Cricetulus griseus: one gene and its partners. The protein of the gene in region 2 interacts with the protein of the main gene of each other region in a biochemical or structural test. Links are inferred from orthologs where the notes say so. Each region holds a gene or a part of one and is shown on either strand. Other genes may lie near its edges. The genes, in order: Snx9, Dnm2, Sh3gl2, Grb2 and Itsn1.

The links.
Region 1: the proteins of Dnm2 (region 2) and Snx9 form a complex in vitro, tested with the Homo sapiens proteins (2 studies listed by BioGRID and IntAct, with this or other methods). The link is inferred for Cricetulus griseus from reciprocal best matches to the Homo sapiens genes DNM2 and SNX9.
Region 3: the proteins of Dnm2 (region 2) and Sh3gl2 interact in a biophysical measurement, tested with the Homo sapiens proteins (2 studies listed by BioGRID and IntAct, with this or other methods). The link is inferred for Cricetulus griseus from reciprocal best matches to the Homo sapiens genes DNM2 and SH3GL2.
Region 4: the proteins of Dnm2 (region 2) and Grb2 form a complex in vitro, tested with the Homo sapiens proteins (3 studies listed by BioGRID and IntAct, with this or other methods). The link is inferred for Cricetulus griseus from reciprocal best matches to the Homo sapiens genes DNM2 and GRB2.
Region 5: the proteins of Dnm2 (region 2) and Itsn1 form a complex in vitro, tested with the Homo sapiens proteins (2 studies listed by BioGRID and IntAct, with this or other methods). The link is inferred for Cricetulus griseus from reciprocal best matches to the Homo sapiens genes DNM2 and ITSN1.

What each region holds. Positions count from the first base shown.
Region 1 is NC_048595.1:287,022,397-287,025,914, forward strand, and holds part of Snx9 (sorting nexin-9), read left to right. Parts: intron 1-901; coding exon 902-1,052; intron 1,053-3,172; coding exon 3,173-3,257; intron 3,258-3,518. UniProt on the Homo sapiens protein: Involved in endocytosis and intracellular vesicle trafficking, both during interphase and at the end of mitosis. Required for efficient progress through mitosis and cytokinesis. Required for normal formation of the cleavage furrow at the end of mitosis.
Region 2 is NC_048597.1:134,285,789-134,290,032, forward strand, and holds the start of Dnm2 (dynamin-2), read left to right. Parts: upstream 1-1,429; 5' UTR 1,430-1,596; coding exon 1,597-1,757; intron 1,758-4,244. UniProt on the Homo sapiens protein: Catalyzes the hydrolysis of GTP and utilizes this energy to mediate vesicle scission at plasma membrane during endocytosis and filament remodeling at many actin structures during organization of the actin cytoskeleton.
Region 3 is NC_048595.1:62,452,300-62,455,817, forward strand, and holds part of Sh3gl2 (endophilin-A1), read right to left. Parts: intron 2,091-3,518; coding exon 1,932-2,090; intron 1-1,931. UniProt on the Homo sapiens protein: Implicated in synaptic vesicle endocytosis. May recruit other proteins to membranes with high curvature. Required for BDNF-dependent dendrite outgrowth.
Region 4 is NC_048600.1:128,242,642-128,245,333, forward strand, and holds part of Grb2 (growth factor receptor-bound protein 2), read right to left. Parts: intron 295-2,692; coding exon 126-294; intron 1-125. UniProt on the Homo sapiens protein: Non-enzymatic adapter protein that plays a pivotal role in precisely regulated signaling cascades from cell surface receptors to cellular responses, including signaling transduction and gene expression.
Region 5 is NC_048597.1:5,929,277-5,932,794, forward strand, and holds part of Itsn1 (intersectin-1), read right to left. Parts: coding exon 3,392-3,518; intron 1,253-3,391; coding exon 1,093-1,252; intron 1-1,092. UniProt on the Homo sapiens protein: Adapter protein that provides a link between the endocytic membrane traffic and the actin assembly machinery. Acts as a guanine nucleotide exchange factor (GEF) for CDC42, and thereby stimulates actin nucleation mediated by WASL and the ARP2/3 complex.

The DNA of each region.
Region 1 (3,518 bases), on a different chromosome or scaffold from region 2:
TGGTGTTTTCATTTTCATTATTGAATTGTCGTGGGGCAGGTGTTGCAGTTTGGAGATTTTATTTACTTTTGTTTTATATGTATGTGTGTTTTGCCTGCTTGTACGTCTGTACACTGTGAGTGTGCAAAGCTCTCAAGGCCAGAAGAGGGATCTTGGATTGGATCTCCTGGAACTGGAGTTACAGACAAGTGTTAGCCACCATTTGTGTGCTGGGAACAGCCAATGCTCCTAACTGCTGAGCAGTCTCTCCAGGATTTCACTATGGAATTACATGAGTTCCCTGTATAGTTGGAATACTGACCCTTTTATCACATATGGGGGGTCATAAATACATTCTCTTCCATCTGTAAACTGTGTGTTTATTTGCTGAGTATTACTTCCTGTGTTGTGCAGGAGCCTGTTGGATTGATGTGGTCCTACTTGGTATTTTTGCTTTAGTTCCCTGACTTCAGTGTGACACCTAAACACAGAGCTAAGGGCATGTCAGGGGATTTTTCTCGTCATTATCCTCTGGTTTTATGGTTTGTGGTCTTACATTTAAGTAATTGATTTTCTGTTGACATTTTTAGATAATGCAAAATAAGGGCCCAGGTTTTATTCTTGGGTGTGGACATCCAGTTTCCCTAGCACCTCTGACTGAAGAACCTGTCCATTGAGGCACTTCTAAAGAGTTTGTTAACCTGATTGCCTTGTTTAACTTAGTTAGGATTTGTCTTTTGCATAAAAAAAAAAAAAAGCCAAATCCCTAGGTCAAGCCTTGAGACTGACTGAAAAGCCTCTGTTCTTCATATCCACACAACAGTCAGCCCTGGACTCTGCTTTTCGGCTCCTTGAAAAGTGGCTAGCTCAAGAAGTTGTTACTCAAATTTAAGCAATCTCATTATATTTTCTTTCTTGCTAGCAACTGGTGATGATGATGAATGGGACGAAGACTGGGATGATCCCAAGTCCTCTTCATCTTACTTTAAGGATTCAGAGTCCACTGAAGCAGGGGGTATCCAGCGAGGAAACAGTCGTCCAGGTGCCTCTTCCATGAAGCTGCCCCTTAACAAGTAAGTTTATAGGGGAGCAGAGGATGCACACACACACACACACACACACACACACACACACACACACACACACACACACACACACACTACCCCCCCCCACACACACACACTGAAATGTAAGAGAAGTTTTACCTTTTTCTAATTAGTGATCTCCTGAATTTGGAGTCTTATATGCCCTTTGAATCATAGATTAGAAGCTGCTTTTGTCCCATCACAGGGTTAATGAGTGAAGTGTTTATTCAGTTACCATGCATGGCCCACAGCTGTAATCCCAACACACAGGCAGTGGAAGCATGAGAGTCTGAGGTCCATGACAGTCCTCAACTATAGGCAGCAAGTGTGAAGCCGGCTACCTTCAAAATGCTTTTCATCACTTTTACATCAATAAAAATAAGTATCACTAGGAAATATTTTTACATAAGGAAGCTAAAAATAATGTTAATAACAAGTCTCTTAATGTTTTACTGTTTTATCAATCACTTCCCATGTGCCGGGCATTGTGCAGAGTGGTTCGTGGGCACCCTTAGGTCCCTTTGTGGTGTAGATTCCTGTTTTACTACAGGGAAAACTGAAGCCTCTTCACATTCACACAGCTGGTAGGTGGGAGACTTAGGATTCCAGGCCCTCAGGACACAGAGCTTGTGATCCCAGACCTGCAGGATGTGTTTCACCTAGAGTTCTTTCAGCATAAGGAAAACTGCATTCGTGGAACTTGTAGATCCACTGCTTGTGAATGTGGACACAGCCCTGAGGGATTCTGGGTAGATCCACCCACTGCTTGTGAAGGTGGACACAGCCCCGAGGGATTCTGGTATGAGGAATGATGTCAGTGAACTCTCTTCTCCCAATAGTCATACAGTGTATCCCAAACTGCTATTCCTGTCTCGGTACTACAATTCAAAGTGGATTCAGAGGTTGTTAATCTGTGTCTGAATTGGTTTTATTTTTTGAAAGCCTTTGTTTAGCATATATCTAGAGATTAGGGTCAAGGTCTTGTACCTTGAGTAATGGGGCCTCCATAGTCTATCTAAATAGCAAGGGATTAATTGAGCTTTTAGACCACACACTTTCGTGTGTCTCCTGTTCCTTCCATCATAGTTTTTGTGCTCAGCTGGGTGTGTAATAAAATTAGTCATGGCCATCACTGCTTGCTTATCTCCCAGACTACAGACAGCGTCCTCACTAGGATTGGCTGTGGTGGGCATTGTTCCCAGTGGTTATTTCAGCCTAAATGTAAAATAAGTTTAAAGCCCTTTTACATGTAGTTTATCTCTTGGTCCTCTGAAAAGCAGAGACAACAAAACAAACAAGCAGCTGTAGTTTCCTGGCCAGCGCAGGAGTCTAACTCCTTCCCTACCTCTGCTCAGCCCTTGCTCCCAGGTTTGTACCGAGTCTGATAACCTGTTTCAATCCAGTCATCTCGTCTCTGAAGCAAAGAGGTTGGCTTTAAAGATTCTTTGTACTCTAAAATGGCATTCCAGGCTGAAATCAAACTAGGTCGGGCAAATTTGAACCTGTGCCTCCAAGACTTCTCTCTGTGGTACACGGAACGACCTACATATAGCCTTATATATTTTTAAGTACCCGCAGCTTTTCAACAATTCATTGATATGTTAGCTATAGTCTAGCTCTAGAATATAAACCTTGTGCCAGAAAAGGAAGCTGAAAATCTAAACATACTGGAGCATTGTGAGAACACATCTTGATAATGATAAAAAATTAATATATTATATTGCTGTTTGCCTAATAATTATTGACTCTGAATAGATGTGGACGTGTTAGCAAGTGGCCATTGCTCTAAATAGCCAACTCAAATTGACATACTGCATCCTGGGGTACAGAGAGACTTCTTTATGTCTGCCCGTCCCTCTGTTATTGGTAACAGCTTGTTAAGCAGGCAGAATACCAGTGAACACTACACCTGCTGGAGCCAATGCTTCCTTCCCCTGCTCAAGCTTCCCTGAGTGGCTAACTGGCCTCTGGGCCACCTGATTATACTTTATGGTTTTCATCTTAACGACAGAACAAGGTTAGAACTGGTGTGTTGAGGCCACGTGGTGAGAACTGTAGAATTTGTATGAGGAAGGACTGAGACTCACAGTACTTATGTTCATTATCAGGTTTCCTGGATTTGCAAAGCCTGGCATGGAACAATACTTGTTGGCCAAGCAGCTAGCAAAACCCAAAGAGAAAATCCCCATCATTGTAAGTTTGTTTGTTCTCATGAGTTTGCTTTATTTCTAATTAAAGTGTTTTATAACGCCTGAGCTAAGAAGGCTAGTCTTTTTGGAAGTGTTGTTAAGCATGCTTACACTGTCCCATGTTGATAACGTCATTAGGAGTGCTAAAACTAGTCAGTATAAGTTAATGATTGTCACTGCTTCTCAGTTTTCTCCATGTTTATCTTTCAACTATTAATGTTCAACCATCGCTTGTGCACTTTAAAACTTTTTCTCTTCTAAAATG
Region 2 (4,244 bases):
ACACTATCCTGGTCTCCAGGACAGCCTCCAAAGCCACAGAGAAACCCTGTCTCGAAAAACAAAACAAAACAACACCACAAAAAAGAACACTTTTTGCTCCTGCAGAGGATCTGGGTTTTGTTCCCAGCACCTACACTGTGGTTCACAGCCATGCAGAATTCCAGTCCTAGGGGATCTGACACTTCTGATTTCTGCGGGCACCAGGCACATTATGTGGTGCACATAAAAATAAAATAAATATTTTAAAACGTTTCAATATTTTATGTAAAATTTTAAGATTGATTTATGTAACAATTTTTTATGTACAAGGGTGTTTTGCCTGCATGTAAGCATGTGTATCATATTTGTGTCAGATCCTGTGGAGGCCAGAGGAGGATGTCAGATTCCTGGAACTGGAACTACTGATGGTTGTGAGCTGTCATGCAGGTGCTGGGAACCAAACTCGGGCCCTCTGCAAAGGCAGCAAGCACAAAGCCATCTCTCTAGGAGCAATAGAAAAAAATTTTCTTAAGTAAAAATAAACCTAGGCTTATAGTCACCGGTAAAAGACTTGCTTAGCTTCATGAGGCTATGGACTCATCCCCAGGAACATTCAGGAACATGCGCGGAAGAACGAGTGGATTCAGACACCACACTCACAACCTGCTATGAAACTCATCTTCCACTGGCACTGCACTCTTCCAGAGCTGGCATCTGTGGTGCTTCCTAAGATACAAGTTTTCTCCCAGTGCCTAAAAACGCAGGCGTGATGATCACTGAACCTTTTCTCGAGGTGTGGCGCTTTCCAAGTACTGTGGCCCTCTGCTTAGAAAGAATATCACAAACTGACAACAAAAGCCAGGAAAAGCTGGGAAGAACTGACTGACAGACACTGCTGTCAGTCAGAATCAGGACATAGACGCTAGTAGCCTGTAATTCTAGCAGGAGGGATACTGAGACAGGAGGATCACCTCGAGTTTGCGGCCAACCTATGGTTCAGAAAGAGCAGAAAAAAAAAGGGTTGTGGCTCTCTTCTTTCATTGGTCAGAGGGACGAAGTGATATTTACATCAACCAATGAGAAAATTTTACGGAACTAACTAGTGTCAAGTGACAACCCTGTGTTTAAGGATCGATTCCTTACACCATTGGCAGGCTGACGTTTCCAGAGACCAATAAGACAACCCAGATCAACCTAGTGAGCAGAGGCTTCGCTGTCTTTACCCGAGACCCCGCCTTCCGGGCGTGACACCCCGGTTTCCACTTCTATTGGCTTTCTCATATTAGTGACAGTTCTACTACCCAATGAAGGTGAAAGACTAGTCCTTCCTCGTGCCTTTTCTACTGGCTCCCATTCTTGAGTGGCAGCATTCTTGACCAATTGGCATAGCATTAGGGCTCCTGGCTCCGCCCCGGAGGCCGGGCGGGGAGGTCGCTCGGGTCGGGTGTCGCCTGAGAACCGGATGAGGCGGCGACTGTGAGGCCGAGCCGTGAGCGGGCGTCGCGGCGAAGTGGAGCCCGGGCGGGCTGGTGGAGCGAAGCGGGAGGAAGCAACGGCCACAGACGCCTCGGAGCCGCGTGTCGTAGCCAGGGGAGCCGCGGGGCGGAGGCTGGCACCATGGGCAACCGCGGGATGGAAGAGCTCATCCCGCTGGTTAACAAGCTGCAGGACGCCTTCAGCTCCATCGGCCAGAGCTGCCACCTGGACCTGCCGCAGATCGCCGTGGTGGGCGGCCAGAGCGCCGGCAAGAGTTCGGTGCTCGAGAACTTCGTGGGCCGGTGAGCGAGCGCGCCGGCGGCAGTTCCCAGGCTCCCGCGGGAGGCCGGGCGGCGGGCGGGCGGCGGCCGGCCTAGGCGCGGAGGGCGGGCGGGGAATGGCGGAACTGCGGCTCGCGGACGTCGTAGCACCCGTGGCAGTGGGTAAGGTCTGTGGCAAGAGCGTCCGTGACTTTCCTCAGGGACCGGAGATGCAGACCCACTTCCGGACCTGTCTGGGGCAAGATGGCCAATGCAGATCCTTCTTGGTGCACTGAGTCCCAGCTATCGCTGGTGAACTGTGACATCGCATTGCCTGTGATCCAGGATAGATCCACTCTTTTCTCCTGCTACCTGTAAATCTTAGTGTGCGTGCTACTGAAGCTACACTTATCATCCAGCCCCCCCATGGGGGATGATCCCTGGGTCTGTCAGGCTGGTTATCTATGTGGAGCCTTCTCTGCCGTCTGGTTAGCTGTTTATTCGTTCTAGACAGGCTTCCTACCGGCACCATTTGGTTGTCCCATCTGTCCAGACCCACCCCGAAGTCCACTGTTGTCTGACTAGCTGTTTATGGTGACCTCTGGTGTGCAAATGCCCATCTGTGCCCTTTGCTTACCCGAGTTGGTCTCTGCCACCTGAACGCCTGAACTTTTAGGGGCCTCTGTTGTCTGGTTCTCTTGGGCCATTGGCTTCTGTCTTCCAAGTGAATCCGTTCCGTTAGTATGCCCTGCTGTTCATTACCGCCCAGTCAACTCTGCCTGTCCCATCCTCTCTGAGTGGGGGGGGGGGGGGCGGGGCGCTTGAGAAGAAACATTCTTTAGGATTCTTTCCTGGCCCAGGATCCTAGAGAAACTACTAGCTGGCTCCTAAGCTAAATCTTCCCGGTTGGAGAGCTCTCCAGACAGCTCTGGGAGCCTCAGCTTGTTCCATCTGTCCAGTGGGCAAATTCCACTTGCAGCTGTTTCTATGATCCAGGAAGTGAGTGAAGGAGGGATGTTGATTTACTCCTATCCCCTCCCCCGCTGCTTTTCACACAGCACCACTTCTCCATTCCAGGAAGTGTTCCATGTATGATGCTGTGGTGTGTGCCCAGTGATAATCTTTGCTTTGCTGTGGACATTATTGTGCCTGTGTGTGTCCGTGTGTCCAAGTGTGTGCCACAGTGCACTTGTGGAGGTCAGAGAACATCATCTTTGTGCAGTCCCTCATTTATGTGGGTCCTGGGGATCAAACTCAGGGCATCAGACCTACATAGCAAGCAAGCCCCTTTGCCCATTGAGCCATATCATTCATTGTCTTTTCATCTGAATGTGTAGCTTTGGAGCCTATCCTGGCACTTGCTCTGTGGCTCAGGCTGACCTTGAACTCAGAGATCCACCTGCCTCTGCCTCCCGAGTGCTGGGATTAAAGGTGTGTGTAGCCACTGCCAGGCTCCATCTGAAATTTTTGAGACGTGGTCTGAGTCTGAAGCTCACGGAGCAGCTAGACTGGCTGGCCAGTGAGCTCCAGTGTATCCACCTCTCTCTGCCTCACCCTAGCATTGGGTTACACAGACACACTCTCTCTCTCTCTCTCTCTCTCTCTCTCTCTCTCTCTCTCTCTCACACACACACACACACACACACACACACACACTCCCTACTTCCTTCCCTCCTTCTCCCTAGTGCATGTTGTTGTTGTTGACAGTCTTTTGTGGAAGGAGGAACATCTCTGAATTTGAGGCTATGTTACTCTACATAGAGTTCTAGGGTAGACAAGGCTATACAGTGAGACCCTGTCGCAAACAAACAAACAAACAAACAAAAAACCCATATAGGTTGGTTCAAGGATGTACTTGGATGTTGGAAGTGTCGATTTAGGCTAAATTAGATGTACCTGTGATCTTAGGTACTCAGGAGTCTGAGGCAGGACAAGGTTTGAGTTTATGGTCACCTTGGGTTGCATTGTTAGATCTTGTCTCAAAAAAAAGCCAGGAGTGGCTTGTGGTTGTAGCTCAGGCATAGAGCAGTTGCCTTGCATGAATAAGGCCCTAGGGGTTAGTCCTTAGCATTAAACCGATAATAAATATTATTGCCATTTATGTTCTCTTTGATTGCTTCATACTCAAAGAGACCTTTGTAAGACTGTGGCTTTTAGGTACTGAATTTTTTATGTATATGTACATACACCTATTTTTAATTAATTTTTTTAGATATAGTCTCACTCTCTAGACCAGGCTGGCCTTGAACCCACAGGGATCCACCTGCTTCTGCCTCCTGGGTGCTGGGATTAAAGGTATGCACCACCATTCCTCTATTTTTCAAAACAAAATTTTGAGACAGTCTCATACTATATAGTCCAGGCTGACCTGGAACTCACCATGTGACACAGGTTGGCCCCCAGAAGTGTAATAATCTTTTCCTGCTTCCACTTTCCAAGTGCTAGGGTCACAGGCATGTACTGCCATGCCTGGCATTAAGTTCTTTTTGCTCTAGAATGTCTTAAGGCCCCTGGGCTGAAGGAACCTGC
Region 3 (3,518 bases), on a different chromosome or scaffold from region 2:
GTGCAGCCTGCCATGAACACACACAATGGTTCTACAGGTTCTAAGTTGACTTAGAATATGAGACGATTCTTATGCCTAGGACCCTGCATGCAGTACATCAGGAGAAGCAATGAGCATCCTTGAGAAGGTCTCATTGCTTTCATTAAACAGTTTTGTGCTTAACTATAAACTTTCTGGATAGGATGTAACTTCTTTCATTGAGGTCCTAGAGAAGAAAGATTCACTGACTAGAGGACTCTGTTTCTTGCCTCCAGAAGCCAACATGAATGAAATCAGAGCTTCATTTTACATTCTAATAACTGCTGGTAATAAAAAAAAAAAAACAGGAAAATTGATTTCTCACTTCAGGTACCATGGGATGAAATAAATCTTTTGACCTCTTAGCTTGATCCAAGTGGGATTTAAAGCTAATTATCTAATTTTTTAAGCAGCCTTACTTTTGGGTGTCTTGTGCTGTGGATTAGCTGAGTACTAGCCTCCAAGTCAAGAAGGGCAATGAATGCTGTCCCTATGGGTTGAAGGGTGTAGGAAGAGGACCCAGGGTACAAGGAGACATACTGATCAAGTTTCTTACAGTATTGCACTTGAGTAGTTAGAAGGACAAAAGTTGTCTGTAGGCAAACCCACACTGTCTCTGGAAGAAGAGGACTACATGTTCCATATGTCTTCCCTATCTCTTAGGAGGTAAGCTGATAAGATAATGTGGTGGAAAATTTTGGATGACAACATGGCTAATTTAAAGGATTCTCAAAAAGCTAGCAAAGCATGCCCCTTTGGCAAGTCTGCTTCCCAGAGGAGATTTGCATTTGAAACCAAGGACAAAGAATGAGCTGTGCATATCTAATATAGTAGACACTGCCCAGTCCGTTGAGGGTTCAAATAAAGAAAATGGCAAAAGAGATTCATTCAATCTCCTCTCTCCTGAGGCCAGAGATTCTGCTTCTCTTGCTTTTGGACATCAGAGCTTTCAGCTCTCCATTCTTGGGGTTTATTTTCCACTTCTGTTAGGTTTTCTAGCCTCTGGATACGGAATGAATTAGCCCATTACCGCCTTCCATTCTTGGGCTTTTAGAATTGGCCTGAGCCATGTTTCCAGCTTCTCTGGTTCCCCAAACTTCAAGAGGTATATGTGGGACACCTGTGCCTCAATAATCTCCTTAATAGGTGATTGAACTTTCCTACTGATCTCAAGCTAAACATACTACACCTACACCACCTGTGTATATATCCTTGTGGTTTTCTCTGAAGATTCCTTGCCAATGCAAGTGATGAGTATGTAAAATCCTGCAAACGTTGCAACTGAATTGATGGATTTGAAAGGTGGATGTGAACCACAACAGGAAAGCTGTTTTTTCAGATCTCGACACGTGTGAAATAAGGATGAAAGGACTGTTCAGATAGCTTTATAGCTGAAAGAACTCAAGAAAATTTAATGTCCAAAGCCAGGAGTGATAATTTAATACTCTGGAGATGCAGAAACAATTCTAAAACGTCCCAACAACTCCCCGAACATAGTCCCTATACTATAATAATCAATTGTATTTTGTATACTTTTTCAATGAAAATATCAACCTTACTTCCATATATTGACCACCTTATAATTTTGAATACAAAATTCCGAATGTACTTTAGTTGTCATTCTTAGCTGCAGATCAATATGCTCTATATTTAAACTGTAGTTTTTAAGATGCTGGTTTTATACCTGGGTTATCCCAAGCATTCTTTATCTCTGCACTATTGGTAATAGTTTAAAATTCATTAAGTTCCATGCCTAGTTTATGACAAATTATTCAAAAGAAGCAGTCATCTATGTGTTCTCATCATTTAGAGTTACCAGACAGTAGCATGTTACCCAATGTATCATCTTTCAACACATCCATGCTGTGCCTTCATGATAAAATTGAAGGAAAACCCAAAGGAGAGCAGCTTACGTCCATCTCCAAGAGATTGAACATGCTCGACTCGGCGATTTCTTTAGATTCATCGAATTTCTCCAGTGCTTGGCGAAGTTCTTCATCTGGAATCTTGCCTTGTCGTTTCTTCTTATAATCAAAGTCCAAGCGCCGGCCTTCCAACTTTTTCAGGTGATGCTGAAAAAGTCAAGGGCAAGAGTATGCTTCCAAAGGGCATATTATGGAAAAGGCCAGCTTGTACCTCATTTCCCTTACATTCCTGGTTGCCTCCAAAATGAGACTGGTTGTGTTTGAAATGGCTTGTCACCAGAGAAATGGACACATGCATCTGCAAAGGGCTAACTGTGCAGTGACATCTTTACAAATAATTCAGAATGAGAAACCCTGGAGAGATTGGATTTGGCATTTGAAGCCAACATCAAGTTAAACTTGCCTCTTCCATCAAATGACAAGAAGGAAATGTGAGTGTGCATCCTTCCCACACTCCTCCTTAAGCAAAGGATACACACAGAGCCCATGAGTCATCTTCTCAAGAGAAATGGAATCTCAAAGAAAGCAGAGGAAAGCCCCTTTCTCTGAGTTCAAGGTCGAAGAAATGAACTTCTTCTTTCTTTACTAATCTAGTTTACCAGAAGCACCTAATGTGTCTGTTAAGAATGCAGATTCCTGACTACCTGAGTCAGAAAAACCAGGGCTGAGCCTAGTAATCTCAACAGGTGCCCCATTTGACAGAGGAGGCCTTTAGGGGGCAGATGACTTAGGTTAAAACTTCTCCATGGACAGGTGACACAAGTCAGTCACCAAGCAAACTACAAGGGACCTTGGAAGAGATTTCATCAAATGCCCCTCAAGTCACTTTTGATCCCTCGCAGCATTATCTGCAACAAGGTTTCCAACCCCTTTAGGGACTTGGTTAGGGAGGTTTGCTTTTGTTTTGTTTTCCCTTAAAGACCAATAGCACTTCCCCTGTGGCAGCTGTAGTATCCCATGACTAATAGGGAAGAGAAAAGGATGATTTCCCCTTGTTCCTTAGTGTGTATGAATGAGGGCAGAAGAAAATGACAGCACAGTCAGGAGCAGCAAAGGCCTGGGAAGGGAGGGGACAGCCAATGTTCTAGAAACTCCCCCTCTGGCCACATTTCCTACCTTCAACTCATACTCTTAAGTGTGTGTGTGTGTGTGTGTGTGTGTGTGTGTGTTTCCTTTAGGCAGGGGTGTTCTTAGAAAGCATTTGAACTCACAGCCAGTCAGAGGCAAAGCCAGTTGAATTTATTAGCAATAGCACAACTGTTTTCCATGTTTTAGAAAGAGTGGTTATTTCTTCTCATTTCCAACAACAATCATGAAAACATATGAATGTGCTTAAGAGTGACATAGTAGCTACTTATTTTTAGCTAAAGAAAAGTACAACTAATATTTAAGGGCCACATCAGCCTGGCCCATCATTCATATTAACAAACGTATACATTTCCAGATAAAGGACATCCTGATGAAGAAAAAAAAAATAGTGCCAAGACTATTTAACAAGGAAGTTAAACCAAACTTGAGTTGTGACAGTGGATTGAAGTGCCTTTAGTTTCTGGTTCCTTTTGTCTTGTGGGGCTG
Region 4 (2,692 bases), on a different chromosome or scaffold from region 2:
CAGCCCACCCGGGTCTGGAAGCACTTCTCCCTGGTGGCAAAACTACCTGACTGACAACTGCAGATCCTCAGTGTGGATGAAGGCAGCCTGGTGCACAGAGTGGTGCTGCGGAGGCCCTGGCTTACCTGTGGCACCTGCTCTATGTCCCGCAGGAATATCTGCTGGTTCCTGGACACTGACGTGGATCTGTGGTAGTCCACCAGTTCATTCAAAGAGTTAAATTTCACCACCCACAGGAAGTACTTCCCGGCCCCGTCTCGGAGCACCTTGAAGTGCTGGACATCATTTCCAAACCTGAGGATGGGAGGAGAATGGCATGAAGCAGCCAGCTGCAGGGCTGTCCTGAGGGTCCCTGGGGTGGCTTTGCAGAACTTGTGGACATGATAGCTGCACAGCAACCGAGTCTTCAGCTGGACAGAGTGGGGACTGTTCCGGGAGCCTCCCCTAGACCTCTCCTGACTGCTGGCCCCAGGAACAGTCTTCACGAGGGCAGTCCACCCACTAGTCTCACTCTGCAGACACCTGATGATCTACTCACACAGCCCAGTAATGAAGGTCCAAGCTTATCTGCTTTACAGGTAAAAAAGCCATGTGACATCCAAACCCTCGCTCAGGTTGGCTTTGAGCTCACTAACTGGCTAAGCAGGTCTAAAACTCATGGTGATCTCCTGACTCAGCCTCCCCAGGGCTGGGATGACATGTGTGCCACCAAAGCCATGCTTTCCATTGAGTTACTGCCATACTGTTTCTTTTTCAGGGTAACGAGAACCAAATATGAAGAAACAAACACTCTTATCAGTTGACAACAAGGCTAACAAGTGTGATTACTGATGCTGGCCGGATCACAGGGTCTGCCCTAGTGACACCTGGGCATGACAGTCACTCAGCCAGGACCTTGCTTCCTGATCACTGCCAAGCCTTCAAATCTTTTCCAGGAGTCTCTCCAGTTTAGGGCTTAAAAAAGGTGAAGGCATTCTGAAGACAATCCAGCAGGAGGCAGCACCGAGCTTCAAGCTAGGGGGGGCAGGACACTAGCGCTTCCTAACTAACACTCAGGGCAAATCTGAAACCAGATACACTGTTTCCCCTATGGACACACATTGCAGCAATATGAAATCATTTAAGTTATTTAAAATCCAGGAGTTATTTCTGCAGTTTCCACTTGATCTTGGTAACTGAAATGGAGGAAAGCAAGACCAAAGCAGTCAGACAACTTCATTATCACATTTTCACTTGGAAGCCAATGCGCTGGCGAAAGCAGAGGACTGCACATCCGAAGGCCTTGTCGAGGGCCCTTCTGGGTTTGCACCTGGCTTCCGGAGAGTGCAGGTCACTGACTGCCAGGGTCACTTCTACCACGGCCTTTTAACCAGACTCTGACATCTCGAAACCAGTGCACCATCTCCGAGATTGAGGCCGTGTGAAGCCCTTGGTTCTGTGAAGATGCCTGTGTTAAAGGCAGTATTTCATACTCTCTCTCTCTGCCCACCTCTCCGTGTGCACGTGTGCCAGCATGTGTGTGGAAACCGAAGTCAATGATGGAAGTCTCTGCCATATTCTCTCAGAACCAGCAGCTCACTGATTAGGCCAGGCTAGCTGGCCTCCTGGCTCCAGGGATACCTGTCTCTCTTTTACCCCAGCTTTTACACGATGGGTCCTAACTCGGGCCCTCATGTTTGTGAGGTAGGTACTCTATCCTCCCCCTTATTTTATTCCTAAAGTGATAGCACATTAACTTTTTTTAAAGTTTAATTTTTAAAGTTTTATTTATTTATTTATTTATTGGGGGGGGGGAGAGTTTGTGGCTTTGGAGGCTTGTCCTGGAACTAGCTCTCGTAGACCTCACACACACTGGGCTAGGTCTCCATCCCTTACAAGACTTCCTTTGATGGAAGGGAACAGCTTGGCCTTAAGGGCATCTTCAGGAAACGCACAGAGCAGGGTCTGTTGCTACCCACTGGTTGGTTACTTCTTTCTCCTTCCTAAGCTGTTTTACTGCTACTAGGGGCAGCAGAGGCCAAAAAAGCAGATGACACACAAGCTGCTGAAGCATAAAATGGTAATTCTACAAGCCCAGCTCCACATGCTGTCAGAGCCATCCGCACATGTGTCTGGCCAGGAGCTTCAAGCCAGGTGGCGCTCGCCTTCAGTCCCAGCGCTCAGGAGGCAGAGGCGGGTGGATCTCTTTGAGTTCAAGGCCAGCCTGCCTGGCTCACAGATCACATGACTTCCAGGACAGCCAGGGCTGTTACACAGAGAAACCCTGTCTGGAAAAACCAAACCAAACAAACAAAAAGACCTTCAAAAGTCCTGGTTGCAAGAGGAAACTATTCTTACACTGAGTTTGAAAAAAAAAAAAAAAATACTGCAAGCCAGCTGTGGCAGTCCACGCCTTTAATTCCAGCACTCGGGAGGCAGAGGCAGGTGAATCCCTGAGTTTGAGGCCATTTAGACAAAAAGCATAACTTTGTTCTGGTGCCTAGATTGGAGGCCTGATATTCCTACTACACAAAAGTGAAGGCAGGAAGATGGAAAGTTCAAGGCCAGTCAGGCAATTCATTCATTCATTCATTCATTCATTCATTCATTCATTCATTCGCCATGATGCTAGTTAACAGAACCCTGAAACCCACACCTGCTACACCCAGTTCCCAGCGTGGGCAATGGAGCAAGACCTTGGTCAGTGCGTTTA
Region 5 (3,518 bases), about 130 Mb from region 2:
CCAAGAGGTTGACTCTCGCTATCCATGATGGCCTCTTCTCCGTCCTGAGTGCTCTCTGATAGCACGACCACCTCTGTCCTCCCGAGTTCTAGAGCTCACCCTTGCCTACACAGTTTTACTCACGCCTCACCCACAGCACCTCCTGGGTGGCTGAGCACCGATGGGATACGCTTCGGTGCTGAGTGTAGGTAGAAACAAAGGAACACCGTGCAGCGTCCTCCCTCGCCCCAGCCGCTTGCTCTCAGCCATGTCCACTCCCTTGGATTTCATGGTGCTTGCTACAGCCAGCCGCTTGCTCTCAGCCATGTCCCGCCAGTGTGCCAGACAGCCCCAATTCCACCACCGTGTACTCAACTCCTCCTTACTAGACTCTCTCTCCCTTCCTCACCTGGCTCACTCCTTTCCCTCTGCCCAACCCTGCCGTGTCTTCCCGTTTCCGTGGCTTGGGCACAGAGACTCTGCAGGCTCTAGGCTTTCACGTAAGTGCCCTGCTGAGCACGGCCGCTCAGCAACTCCAGTCTTCTTGCATACCAACCATTTCCCCATGGATCTGCCCGGTGTCTCCTCCAACTTAAGCATCTCCAGAACAGAAAACCCCTGTGATCCCCTGGGGCCTCCCAGATGGGCATTTGCTGTGTGATTCATTAATCTCATTCCTTCATCATTACTACATTAACATAAAGAGAAAGGTTCATGACAACAACCCCTACACTTTCAGAAATACTGTTCCTTAGCAGGGCCTCCCATTAACCTGAAATTGGTCTGCCTTTTTCAGTAGGGACCAAGGGGTAGTCAAATAGGCTGACCCAGAGTTTTCTTTATGAACACCCTGACTCCTCATGGCAGGTTCGGTACCTTTTTAACCGATCATCATTGCAGCTCTGATGCTGCTTTTTCAATGAAGCTTCTTAGACACAGGCGGGACAGTTTACGCCCTCTGAACTCTGAGGTTTACACTGAGTCTCAGGTTTCTGAACTAGGTCCAGCCAGCCAGCCCAGCTTCATGGCAAGAGCCTGCATTGCTGAAGCTGCTGGTGTAATAACACTAGCTGCAGACCACTCAGTCTTCACGCCCTCCACAACTGCCCCTACCTGGCCCAGGACGGGAGACGGGGAGGAGCCAGTGGCTGTGGCTGGTGTAAAGGCAGACCTCTGCCTTAACTGGCCAGCGCTGGGTACCGTGAGAGAAGGCTGAGCAGCCCATGCGTCCCAGTTATCCGTTTCTGGTTTCTCGCTTGTGCTGGCGGGCCACCTGGAAGGAAAAACACATGTCATAAGCAGTAAGCACTTTCTAGTGTCCTGACATTACAGGACACCCACACAAACAAGGAGGGCACCCCGGGGGAACAGAAATCGATGACATTTATGTGGGCTTCTCTAGTTGAGAAGAGGATGAGAAAGAATGCCAGGCTCAGGTTTGACTCTGCTACACACACTGCAGCATTCCCCAGGCCGATTAGAAGACTGTTCTTTCTTTCATCTTGAGTTCTTCTCTAGAACAACACCCTGACAGTCTGGGTTAGTTGTGAGGGTCGCCTCGATCGGTAGGCAGCAAACACCCACAAGTGCTAGAATGACTATGACAGCAGCAGCTAAGTAAGAAGGAATTGAGTGTTGCACCCGGAGACACTGCAGCTTGGCGGCCAAGTTCCGTGTGCCCCACAGCAAACACCTGGCCAGGTGCCTGGAGGCCACAGTAACCACAAGTGGCTCACCTAGCAGGCGAGGTGCCCCATCTCAGGACAGTCCCAATTTTGTGGTTTTATACCTTTAGGTAAGGTTATGTGTTTGCGTGCAGAGCTGAATGTGATGTGCTGTTTATATCTTTATCAGACTATACGCAGATTTAAAAATCAAAATACCCACTCCCCAGACTGTTCATCTTGATGTTGGTTTGGAAAGATGCTTTTATGTACATCAGAAGACTTGTACGCCACAGAGCTCTTAAGAAAGAGACAGTGATCTGGTTCACAGAAGAAACAAAACCACCACCACCACCACCACCACCACCACCACCACCACCATGACATTAGGGCTGGGACTAGAGCCGCCTCGCATGCACAAAGCCCTAGGACTCATCCCCAGCACCATACACGGTAGGCGTGGTAAGGCACTTGGGAGGTGGAGGCCTTGGTAGACGCTCAAGATGGGTCTGAGGTTAGTTTTGGCTATATGAGACTCTACCTTAGCAAACAACCACGGTACCAATTCTATATCTTAACTGGAGCTTTGTTTTGGGAAGTCAAGAGCTTTTCAAGCAAGACCAAAAAAGGTAGAGCTAGTCTGGCTTAAAGCACAGGCCGGTAGAAAGCTGCTTCTTAAGCAGAGGCTCCGAGGGCATTCTTCAGCATCTTCAACCTTTATCCTCCAATGCATGCGAGGAAAGCCGTGGTTCTTCCTGGCCTCAGTCACCACTCTGCTTCTCTTCCCCTGTTTGTTTCATCTGGTCCTTCTCTAAAAATAGCCTCGATGCCTTGCCTTTCTTCTAAGAATGTCGTTTCTTCTAAGGGGTTATTTAATTTGAAAAGAGATGTAAAGCCCTTCCTACTCCTACTCTTACTGTATATTAGCTGGGAATATTTTTGGACAAGTGCACATGTAGGCCACGGACCTACAAAAGGGGGTCCAGGCAGCAGCTTCATCTATCATTTGAAACCTCTGCTCACATGCTGCTTGCCGAATGCCATTTCCTGATGACAGGGGCATGTCCCCTTCTCTACACTGCCCATTTACTCAAGGTTAGCAACAGCAGAAATCATCCACAGAAACTGCTTTCTGTCTTATTCCAAACCACCTGACTGCTTGCAATTTTTGTTCCTTGCTAATGAAATCGTGTCATTTCCCAGCCTGCAGGAAGTAAATGAAAATTCTGCTGACCAACATAACTGTCAACACAGATTATTAGGAAGTTGCATTTCTCCATTTCTTCTTCCAAAATGAAACATACAGATAAATACAGATGGCTTTCTTTTGTACGCTGGCAAACCGCTGTTTGGAAATGGTATTATTAAATCTAGTTTGGAGGCCAAGGACCCCAACTTGTCAGTAGACCAGACAGAGGAAGGGGTCATGAACACATGCTATCTCCCTTTCAAAGGTGAACAACTCAAGACTACAAATCAGAAGAAGGAAGAGGGGCTGGAGAGATGGCTCAGCAGTTAAGGGCACTGACTGCTCTTCCAGAGGACATGGGTTCAAATCCGAGCACCCATATGCAAGTCAACACTGTACCTCCAAGATCTGACTGACACTCTCACACAAATGTACTTGCAGGCAGAACACTAATGCATATAAAATGAAAGTAAATAATTATTTAAAAAAAAAGAAGAAAAAGGAAAGGATGACTAAGTTTGGATGTCAAACCTGTCAAAGTCAGCATATTAACACGTACGTGGAACTGAAGTCTGCCCAGTTGTTGGGGGTTGTAGAGGGCTCAGAAGAGGTCACTGGCAAGGGAGCAGGGGTCTCACGCAGAGCCAGTTTGGGGATAGGGGCAGATGTCAGATCGGTCACTGGTT